3 linked regions of the Oryzias latipes genome follow. The protein of the gene in region 1 purifies or fractionates together with the protein of each later gene. This does not show direct contact. Links are inferred from orthologs where the notes say so. Each region holds a gene or a part of one and is shown on either strand. Other genes may lie near its edges.

Region 1 (3,613 bases):
CCCAAAAGAGGTCCAAATGTCCTTGGAGATCAGACACAAAGGGTCAGATCGAAGGTTAGCCCCACCCCCTTCTTTCATGTGAGTGCAGGGGGGGTAAACGTTACAACAGTTTGTTAGAGATGTGAGCAGAAATGGCAAAAACAGAAGAACTCATCAAGGATCTATGCATCAACACCTGTGTGGAGGACATGTCCTCTGGTCTACAACAACATGCATCCTGGGTCCATTGGACCCCAAACAGCCCCAAAGCCCCAGTGTGTCTGTCCACTGGTAACCCATCCATGGTGAACTCTAACCTCACTTAACAGGAACCAGGTCGGCTCCTGTGACTCTGAAGGGGTTAGGCGGGTCCCTCCCCTCATCATCTTCAGTCTTTTCAAACATCCAGGTTTACTTCAATAGTTGTTTCTGAACAGTCAGACGGTTCTTGGCTTCAGGCTGCTTTGATGAGCAGAGAAATGGAGCTTTTTGTCCAAATGTACCAAAGAGGACCAAGTCCAGAGTCCAGCCGTCAACCTGTGGACCTGGTCGTCAGCCTCACAAACACCACGGCGCCAGCAGCTGGACATAACTGCGTGCTTTATTGATACATAGTAAAGCATTTCGTAATACAGTAGTAAGGCATACATTTGGTGGAGTCTGATATGTCGTGAAGAACAGACGTTTGTTGATTCACGCACAAACCATCGGGTCATGCTGCTGCTGAGGATGTTCACTTCCACACAACACACACCTCCAGACCAGGAAGGGGCGGAGTCTGGTCTGGCTCTTGTTCAGCTTGGGCCGGATGAGTCAAATCGTTTTGGGCTGCGTTTTTGGACGGGTTGTTCTTGTTTCAGGTCGTGGACTTGGATCCTCCTGGTTGGGTCTGATACTTTAGCTGTTTTTGTATTGCATTGGTTTCTATTTTCCTTCTTCTGTCAGTCTGGTCTGTAAACCAACATCAGTACGGCAGAGACCGAGGACAGCGGGTGTAGGAACCAAACTGCACCTGTAAGTCCAACCCCGCCCTCTAGTTACAGACTGCACCTGTACTTAGCATGTCAGGTTACCACGATGGTGACAAACACCTATAGTTTGGCTCCAACAGCCATTCAAACAAAGGGGCGTGGCTCTACCTGCCCAGTTACCCTTGGTATGCAGTAGTCACACACAAACACACATCAGTCAGAAGCGGCGTCCTCTTAGAAAACGTATTATTACAATCATTTTTTGATAGAAATGTGTGAAATGCTCGGGCTGCTCGTCAATAGAAAGAGATCCGGTCTGTCCCTCTCCGTTTTTTTACAGTTTTGCATAGAAGTTTAAAAACCAGAGAATGACGTCAGGACGCGTTAAGAAACTACTCAGTCTAAGTTACAACAACCATCATTCACAAAAATAGATGTTAGAATTTCTTTGTAAACTCTTCAATCCAGTTGTTTCGACTAGAAAAGCATGCTTTATGTAGGGGGCGGGGCTAGAGTTCAAAAGGGCTGTCCCATGGCGTCCTGCGCGTCTGTCATGGCGATGACCGCCGACTCCATGATGGCTGGGGGTGCTGGGACCTGACGGGGAGGAGAGCAGACGTTAGCGATGTCACGTTCTCATGAATGAGCCTGCTCCTGTGCTGCCCCCTGTCTGTCAGGAGGACACACTGCAATAAAAATGGATGATGGGGAGTGAGGCACTGACCGCTCAAAGATGATGTCCCCTTCTCCCTCCTGGACCATGGAAGAGCAGGCGCAAGAAAGAAGATCAGAGCAGTGCTAGGATGAACAGAGAACCCCCCACACCCACCCCAATAAAACAGATGTGCCTTTTAACTGAGCTAACCTGAGGCTTAACTAGTGGGTAACTTTGGGCAGTTTTCCAGAGTTAAGCTTTTAGCTCCAGCGATGTCAGCGGCTACGCCTAAATATCACACACCCTTTCACTCACCGTAACATTATGATCATTTTAGATTAATTCAAAGAAAACGGCTTTGGGCTGATGAGTCAAAAGGAAAAAAGAGCCAAGCTGCCGTTCTTAGCATCACTATCTGTTGGTATTCTGTTACATTAACTATCATAGTTAGGATCAGATTATCACAGAATTACTGTAACTCTACGGAGGTCTAGGTGATTGACAGAATCGTATCAGACTTACAGAGTCATTGTAGCTCTATGATTGTTTATGTCATTCATAAAGATATACAACAGCTGTGTTTGTCAGCACAAAGCTGTTTCTCTCTGCTTCAGTTAACCGTGTAGACCAGGGGTCAGGAAGCTATGGCTGGCGAGCCATATATGGCTCTTTTGATGGTCACATGTTGCTCGCAGACAAATCTTTAATTATACTTTTTTTTTCATTAGACCAGTCCATCTCGGGTTTGATGCCATGCCAGAGGCGCGCAGTAGTAGCGGTGCTTGGAGAGAAAAATCTGCGCCAGCGCTATCAGTTACTATTATCTATTATTTCACAGAGTTTGTACCAACTGGAAACCTTTGAATTGCCGTGCCTGGGTACAGGCAGCAGGGATGGTAAAAACGTAAACCCGCTGCCCGTCACTCACTGCAGTGTGAGTGTGTGTTTGGCTCTATGTCTGTCTCACATCTACACCTACGCTCTCGTCTAGGCGGGAGAGAATAAGGAGTTGCTGAATTAATTGTACGGCGTTTGTTGCGGTCTGCAGTAACCAGAATAAAGAACCTCAAAAGAAGTTAAGTCTCTGTGCCTCAGTGTGGGAAAGGGACGCTACATTATTGTATGGCATTATGTGGCATTTATGGCTCTCTTGGCCAAAAAGGTTCCCGACCCCTGCTGTAGACAGTCAAAGGGTTAAAACATTTCAAAGAACGTCAACATGCAGCTAGAGCTCCACCGTTAAAGTCTCAGCTGACACGAGTTCACAGCAGGAAACAGAACTGAAAACAAAGATCCTCTGACGCTACATTTCTAATTCTTGTAGCTTAAAAGTTCCTAAAAGTCCACAGGTTGAGTCGTGGCGTCTGGACTTAGCGTCATCAGTCAGCCCAGACGCCACGACTCAACGTCCAGACAACGTCAGCTGATCAAACACCCAACACCTCAGCAGTAAGGAGAGTGGAGACAGCGCACCCTGGCTGTGAGGAAAGGTATTGTTGAGCTGCTCCATCACTTCTTTTAGACCAGATGCATCCTGGGAAGGGCTGGACAGATCATCATCACCTGCAAAGCATCAACAGATGTTTGGCGTTTTCCCGGCGGCTGATCGTGACAACGCCGCTGCGCCATGGCGGCACTCACCCATGGTGTCGGTGGTCTGGCTGGCGGCCACTCGTAGGACGGGCAGGGAGGAGTCAGAGCGCTGGGAGGAGGTGGAGGGCGAGGACAGGGCCGTACCGTTCACCTTGGAGTCCGTCTAACACACACAGAGTTGTTGATGTTCATCAATCTGGTGGTTTTGGTGACACTTTCAGACGCTTCTGTTGTCGCCATGACAACAGTAAACCTCATGGGGCGTGGTTTTCACCGTGCGTTCACACCGGGCTCAGAAACGCGCGTTGAAGCGACCACTCCCCTTGAAAAATCGATGTAAGGGTTTGGAGGCGGGACTTAACTGGACGCCGCCCTGATGAGTCTGAGACTGCAAATGAAGTAGCTTTTCACCAGG
Region 2 (3,654 bases), on another chromosome or scaffold:
ACATGATTCAAAATAAATTACAAATTAAAAAATAATATATATGTTTTGGAATAAATGCTTAAACATTTGCAAATTAATGGGGGAACAATGTTGTCTCAGAGGTGAAAATGATTGGGAAACGGATTTAAATCCTGAACTGATTTTTAGTTGCTAAACAAACATTATATTATAGTGAAGAATTCCATTTAAATCTTGAGATAAAAAGTTAATGTTTTGCCAATTTTAACTAAATTATCAAGTTTAAAAAAAACATTTTTAAGGCAGTTTAAAATATTTTCCCTTTCTGAAGGATGGTAGAACAGGCAAAAGTGCAGATTTTAGTTTAATAAATGTTTTTCACTGAAAGTAGAGAAAAAAACAAGTTTTGTCGTTTGCACAGAGGGGCAAAATGAAACTAACTGAATAACATTAATCAAGAAAGTCCCTAAAATAAACAACTCCCACCCCTCTGTTCAGTAAATTAACCCAACTTTTGCTCTGTTCCTTGTTTTTGGTCACTTCTATAGCCTCCCTTTGTGGTCACTGCCTTTGGTTTTTTAAATGATCCAATCTAACCTTCATGCAGAGAAAATTTACTTTACTTTAATTACTTTTTAACCCCTCGATATCCATCAATCCACTACTGCTCCAAACTTACCTTCATTTAGGACTCGAAAGAAAAAACAAAAGTGACAATTTTTCTTTCATCGCTGGAAACAGATTCAGGCGTCAAAGGGTTCAACATTTTCCCAGCAGATTCTGACTACCGGTAATCGTTTTGGGGTTTTGCCGCTGCTAAATGCTGAGTTGCCACAGGGGAAGGAGCTGTGTTGTTTTTAGTGTTTTAAAGCAGAAACAAGTGTCAGAAAATGAAGCTTTGATGTGTTTTTCATGCAGTTTTAAGGTCTACTTTCATGTTAACACACTTTAGAGCAGGGGTCCCCAAACTTTTTCCAGCGAGGGCCACATGACGTTTCCGTTCTCGGATCGGGGGCCAGGGTCAGTTTGAAACAGAAAACGTGTGACAGTCGCAGGGGGGCCAAAATGTCAACTGAAAGCCACACATAACCAAATGTTGATAACCCAATCTGATATCAAATAATCCTCTCTGGGTTATTCACCAAATAAATAAATAAATTATAATAATCAGCAAATATATATAATGAGACTCTTTATGAAATCAGTTAAAAAACAGAATTCTTTAAATAAAAAGTCAGGAAATATTAAGCAACAGTATTTTAGATTTTAGAAAATCAATAATAACCAAATAAATCTCTGTGGGTTGTTCAGAAATAAAGTTTCTGTTGTCCATGCACAAATTTAGGTAAATGTTCAACTTCAGTTGTAAGAGCAGAATCTCTTAAAGTTGTTGTGTTCTTTCCCCATAATCCATTTTGGAGTTTTTTTTAGGAGGTTAGTCTAGTAGACACCACTGTATGTTCTCTCTGATCAACTTCCTAGTTTAAATACCTGCATTCTGGATCAGTGTTTCAATTACCTAACCTTTTTGTCATTTATCCATGGGGAGGGGGGGTCCACATTCACGTTTTATGACTGGGGCAAAGTGAGGTTGCAGTAGCCACATTTTTAGCTTGGCTCACATTTCAATTTGAATAACCCTTGTGCTATCCTATGGGGTCCAGATGACCCGAGCCTTACGTTGACGTGTTCTCCCTACCATGACAAAGGTGGATAAAGGTGGAGAGGATTTCATCTAATCCACGGACACCAGTGAAGATCACAAATCATTGAAGCAAAAAGGTTCAGTCTAGTGGATCTAGATGACCCAACTCTCAAAGTTAAAGTGCCTAGGATAGCACAAGGGTTAAGCCTTATCGACGTGAGGAAACAATTCCAAAACGATTCAGTTTTCCACGCTTCCATGAGTCTCGAGCATGTGGCCAGCCTAAAGAAATAATGATGCCAAAATAAATAAAGGGTCTCTCTCTAGTATTGTTCAGGGGGCGGGGTCAAATAGGTGGGCGGGCCGGTTCAGCCTGTGGGCCGTAGTTTGGGGACCCCTGTTTTAGAGAAATTCTTTGCAATACCGACATGTATAATGACAAGAAAATATCAGGATGCTTAAAAAGGCACCAGATCACCTGGTCCTTAACGCACCACATCACTGGGTCTTGTGTGCAAAACATTGCCTGGTCCTAAACGCACCACGGACTGCATCTCACAGAAATGTACCTGCTCAGCCAGCCAGCCGATGTGTTTGAGGTGGGGGTGAGTGGGGGCGGCAGACGACGCCCCCAGGTACGCGTTGATGTGCGCCAGGGTGTGTGGGAGCAGCGCGGCGATGTTGGTGTGGATGGCGGTGAACCAGGAGCTGGCAGAGGGGCCGTCTTTGCAGCGCAGGACCACCGTGTGCTGGCCGTCCGGGGAGTGGAGCTCCAGCAGCCTGAATGCAACCAGAACGAAGGAAGATCTGACACCAAATCCAGCTCTCATTAAGAAAAGAGACACAAGGAAAACTGGTGGCTTGACCAGAATCTCTCATTTTTTACTACTCAACATCAGTAAATCTGTCATATTCTGAAATGAAGTTTGTTTCTGTCCATTCATTTGTTTATTTTTGGACACATTTCCCTCAAATTGAGCATCTTTTTTCTTTGAAATTCATATTTAAAGCATTTTGTCAGTACATTTTCAACATTTTTAATCTTTTCCGTGATTCCTTATTGTACTGATAACCTGATAACCAGGTCTCAAAGAAGGGACAGTTTTCACTTTGAATACAGTCAATAAAAGGGATACTTTTTTTAATTAATTAAAACATATAGGGGAGAGAACAACCAACTCCTTTATGAGTCTTGGGAAAGGTTAATTTCCACCATGACGATTTTTTTCAAGGTGATTTTTTAGGGCAGGCGTATAAAAGCAGACAGGAAACCTAAAATAGAAAGATGAAGAAAGTCTCTTGTGTGCAAATGAACCAAATTCCAGGTTATTGCATTTTTTATGACTAAGGCTTTTCTGCTTCATTATTTAACGGATGACAGATGCTGCTAATGCAGATGTTTTACAGAATGTGACCCATCAGTTTTAGTTCATAGACCGCTGCACAGAGCTCCCTAAAGAGCAAACATTCCAGAGGAATGAACAGGAAATGGCCACAAACCCACCACAAAGACCACACCTAACCTCCCACACGCCCAGGTATGTGTGTGCAGCGCCGGACCTGTTTTCCAAATCCGGCATGGAGAGGTTCCGGCTGATGAAGCACATCTTCAGGCTGATGACCTTCCTGTCTTTGGACGGGGAGGAGGAGCTGCTGTGTTTAGGAGAGCCCGAGTCCTCGCTGCCGCTGTAGCTGGGCGACTGCGGGCGGACGCCGTCCCACGGCAGGTCTGCGACCAGCGACGGTTTCTTGAAGAGCGGAGACACCTCACGAATGTACTTCACTGCGGAGAGAAGGAGACCCATTGATAAAAATTGTGTTTTTGTGGCATTTTTTTGATGATGGAGGCCATATATAAAGAAAATACACTGAAAATGACTTTTCTGAGTATTTTCTTCATGAATCAGGAGCAGAATTTGTGAGAGACCCGCTGGGGGCATTGATTTTCTCAGTGGTTCTGAGAGTTCTGCCATCAAAGCCATGTATTCTTGCTGCCAGGGTCCTGTTTAGAGGCACATGTCTGTGAATCAGAGTAAACCTGGAGCTTCGTC
Region 3 (3,654 bases), on another chromosome or scaffold:
GATTCATAAAGATTGTTTTGATTTTAAATGAAATTATTGATCTATAGATGACAAATGGTTCTTTAGAAAATCTCAGTGTAAAAAAAAGATAACAGTTTGAGTAAATGCAGGTTAAAAAAACATGACAAGTTCTGCATTAATAATTTCAGGATGCTGTAAGTCAGTGGGAGATGGATGTGCTAGAATAAGATCTTTAAAAAGACACCACAATAATAAATGGAATAATGGAGTAGGACTTAAAACATCATCATTTGGATTTTATAACTACACACTAACACACCAGAGAAGAGTGAGCACTGAAAGCAGAATTATTAAAGACAAGGTTTCTCTGAAGATTAAGCTTCAAGAGAGCCTCACTCAAAGCAGGTCACAACAGATTTGTGTAAAGAACAAGATATGATGACATTTTCTAATGAAATAGTAAAATATTGCACTCTGTAAGAAGCTGAAGAGGAAACGGATCGCTTTGCAAGGTACAAACAGCCAACGCACAAAGAAACTGAAATTCAATGATTAATGGAGCTGAAGCAAAACTGCTGGATCCCAAGAAATGAAGCCATTGATTAAAATATGCAATTTAAAAGGCCTTCAAAATGTCTAATAAGGAATTAACTTCAGAATCTGTGTCAAAAATAAATAGTACCATTTCTGGTAAAATTTAATCAACATTAGTTTAAATACTTAAAAGTTGTTCTATCAAAGGTTAATAAATCCAGAATCAAACTCTTTTATCTAGTATGTTCATATTATGCTACATCCCATGTATCGTCATCATTCAGGCAGGGACATTTTTTTTAATGGGAACAGCAATGCTCATGGTCATTTCTTAATAGATTTGTTTATTGATGTTTTCCATCTGCAGTTACGTTCTGCTGTCCTGTAGGCTCTTCAGCAGAAACTTGGTAGATTCTTTAATTTTTTTTTTATAAAAAAATTAAAGGCACTCTAAGTGAAAAAAAATTAAGAAAATAAATAGCACCAATTATCCTGAAATGTACACAAAATGTGCCCTCTTTTTTTTATCTAAACAAAAATTAAAACACTAGTTTCTAACACAAAGTGCAAAAAGAAATCTCTAACAATAAAAATTTCCCAGATTTTCTTACCCCTTAGCTGTTTAACAATGACAATGCACAGACATCAAAACAATGCAACACTAAATCTTAAACATTAAACTTTGTTTTTGCTGTCCAGATTTCTATAGTTGAAGTCGGACAATATTGATCCAGAGGATATATGCCCACGGTTTTTGCTTTAGATTTCTAGACTATTTATTTTTCTCTGGTTCAAATATTCTAGATTTAAGAAAAATTAGGTTTAAGAACAATTATGCATGTTATATATTTTAAAATGAATTTTGTTAAAAGAGGAAAATTATTCTAAAGGGAAAGAAGCTACACCCAAAATAATGGAAACTGCTCAAAGGGGCTTCCACCTACCTGGAGGGGGGGGGGGGGGGGGGGTTTTGATAAAAAGCATAGAAGGAAAGAAGAATTGCGAAGGATTGCAGCTCAGGACTGTTGCAAGCCATAGTAATAGATAGTAATTCCGATTACAATATAGAAGATTCTGCAGCAATATTGAATGGCTGAAAATTGTTATGCAGCCATTCGCACTGCGCACTGTTCATGTCTGTTGGGGCTTATTCCTCATCTTTAAGGATTTTTTGGACCTCCTGCATTTTTTTTTTCTTAATTGCGAAAACAATCTGGTCCTTGCAATCCATGACTGCTGCAGGACTTAATTAAATGTGCCTAGTTAAAACTGATCATCTAACCCTTTGTTTCAGATTTGAGAAAAGAGGCAGATTTGCAGCTGGTCTCTCACATCTTAGTTTTCAGGTTTAAAAGCAACAGCTCTTATGTAAATTTGCATATTCGTGTCCGCTTTACACCTTTGTTCGTTTTCTATAAGCCTTTTTATCCTCTACATGGTCACAGGATTTGCTGGCACAATCGGTGCAGAGTATTGGCTATATGGGCTGCCAATTAATTACAAGGCCACACACAGATAAACATTAAAAAAACACAACAAGAACAACAGCACTCAAACCTTTATTCAGTTTTAAATAATAAACTAATTATATCCTTTTTACGCTGTGCGGGTGAAATCAAATTCTTCAACCAAATACCTGCAGAGATTTCAACGAGAAGCTTTCTGGCTGTGAGTTGACCAACAAATCACCCTGCCGCCTGCTTCCAATTAAGAACAAGCTTCATTAATTAGACATACAATCATATTCAACAAAAGAAACATTTATTTTTGGGTATCACGGTAACCTTTTGCCCTCTTGTTTTTGTCAGGTTAATCACAACTGATCTGCAAATATACACTTTAGACCTACAGGGTCACATTTTACTACTGTGGCTTGTCGTTGATGTTTCTTTCCTTCTCTTCACGAGGTTTAGTTCTGCACAAAATGACATGCCGATGAAGGGATTGATTAACAGGGAAACTCTCAGAACTGTGAAGAGTGAAAAACGAAATCATGAAGAGAGATTCAGAGCCTGATGGAAAAAGAAACTCATCTTTCTTTTGGGAACACGGATGATGAAAGAGAAGACGGGGATAGGACAATCACAAGCTGCAGGAAAGCACAAACAAGAAGGAAAGATGGTAAAAACAGGCAGCAGGGAGGATGGATGATAAAGTATTGCTCACAGGGAGAGAAAACACTGTGGTGGAAGGGACACTAAAGTGGAGGCTGATGCCGGAAACAGACTGCTTTAAATCTAAGAAAAAAATCCTTCCTGTGTCTCCATTCACCTGAATATTACTGTCAATCAGAACCATCCAAAATGGCTGGAATAAAATCAAATGTGCTTGAGTAAAGCCTGACAAAATGAATCATTTTTAAACTTTCATGATAATAAAACACTTCCATTTTGACCAAGAAAATCCGGTACGCAAAGTCACAGTTCCTGAAATGACCACTGGGGGCGGGTTTCAGAAGAGAATAGTTTTCTATTAATGTCTATGCTAAGATTGATACCAAAAATAGAAATATATATATATATACAGTCTGGTTAGAAAAAAAAGGTTTGATTTTGCCTTATTTCCTATTATTGATAACTTTTTCTTGTTCAGTCCCCCTTTTTTTGAACATTGTTAATCATAGCAAAGTATTTCCATTCAACTAAAGTATTGCTATTCAGAGAATATAGATCTAGAGGATATATGTCCACGATTTTAACTAGAGGAGGTTTTTAGACTTTTTATTTTCTCTGATACCATAATGCTAGAAAAGGTTTAAGAACAATAATGCATGTTATATATTTTAAAATATATTTTGTTAAAAGAGGAACATTATTTTAATGGGAAGAAGCTATACACAAAATGATGGAAACTGCTCAAAGGAGCTTCCACCTACCTGTTCTCAGGATCTGGTGTGGTCATTCCTCGTGTTACATAACACATCTTCAGGGGTATGCACCTCCTGTCACCATTCAGGGGTGGTGCAGGCGGGGTAGAAGGACTGGGAAGGTCAGGGGAGGGGCTGATGTGAGGGCTGCTAGGACGGGGGGATTCAGGGGGCGGAGTTTCCCAGTTGATCTCTGACACAGGAGAACCCCTTTTGACATACGGTGTGGCCTCACGCATATATTTGACTGGAAAGGAAAAAAGCATTGCTTAGTCAATACAAAGACAGTAAAA

Evidence for each region.
Region 2: the proteins of dmd (region 1) and sntb2 purify together in Homo sapiens (co-immunoprecipitation; 4 studies listed by BioGRID and IntAct, counting the BioPlex papers as one, with this or other methods). This does not show direct contact. The link is inferred for Oryzias latipes from reciprocal best matches to the Homo sapiens genes DMD and SNTB2.
Region 3: the proteins of dmd (region 1) and sntb1 purify together in Homo sapiens (co-immunoprecipitation; 4 studies listed by BioGRID and IntAct, counting the BioPlex papers as one, with this or other methods). This does not show direct contact. The link is inferred for Oryzias latipes from reciprocal best matches to the Homo sapiens genes DMD and SNTB1.

What each region holds. Positions count from the first base shown.
Region 1 is NC_019860.2:218,215-221,827, reverse strand, and holds the end of dmd (dystrophin), read right to left. Parts: intron 3,362-3,613; coding exon 3,247-3,361; intron 3,169-3,246; coding exon 3,079-3,168; intron 1,704-3,078; coding exon 1,678-1,703; 3' UTR 1,675-1,677; intron 1,548-1,674; 3' UTR 563-1,547; downstream 1-562. UniProt on the Homo sapiens protein: Anchors the extracellular matrix to the cytoskeleton via F-actin. Ligand for dystroglycan.
Region 2 is NC_019864.2:27,643,379-27,647,032, reverse strand, and holds part of sntb2 (beta-2-syntrophin), read right to left. Parts: intron 3,387-3,654; coding exon 3,164-3,386; intron 2,384-3,163; coding exon 2,173-2,383; intron 1-2,172. UniProt on the Homo sapiens protein: Adapter protein that binds to and probably organizes the subcellular localization of a variety of membrane proteins. May link various receptors to the actin cytoskeleton and the dystrophin glycoprotein complex.
Region 3 is NC_019874.2:10,569,666-10,573,319, forward strand, and holds part of sntb1 (beta-1-syntrophin), read right to left. Parts: intron 3,609-3,654; coding exon 3,371-3,608; intron 1-3,370. UniProt on the Homo sapiens protein: Adapter protein that binds to and probably organizes the subcellular localization of a variety of membrane proteins. May link various receptors to the actin cytoskeleton and the dystrophin glycoprotein complex.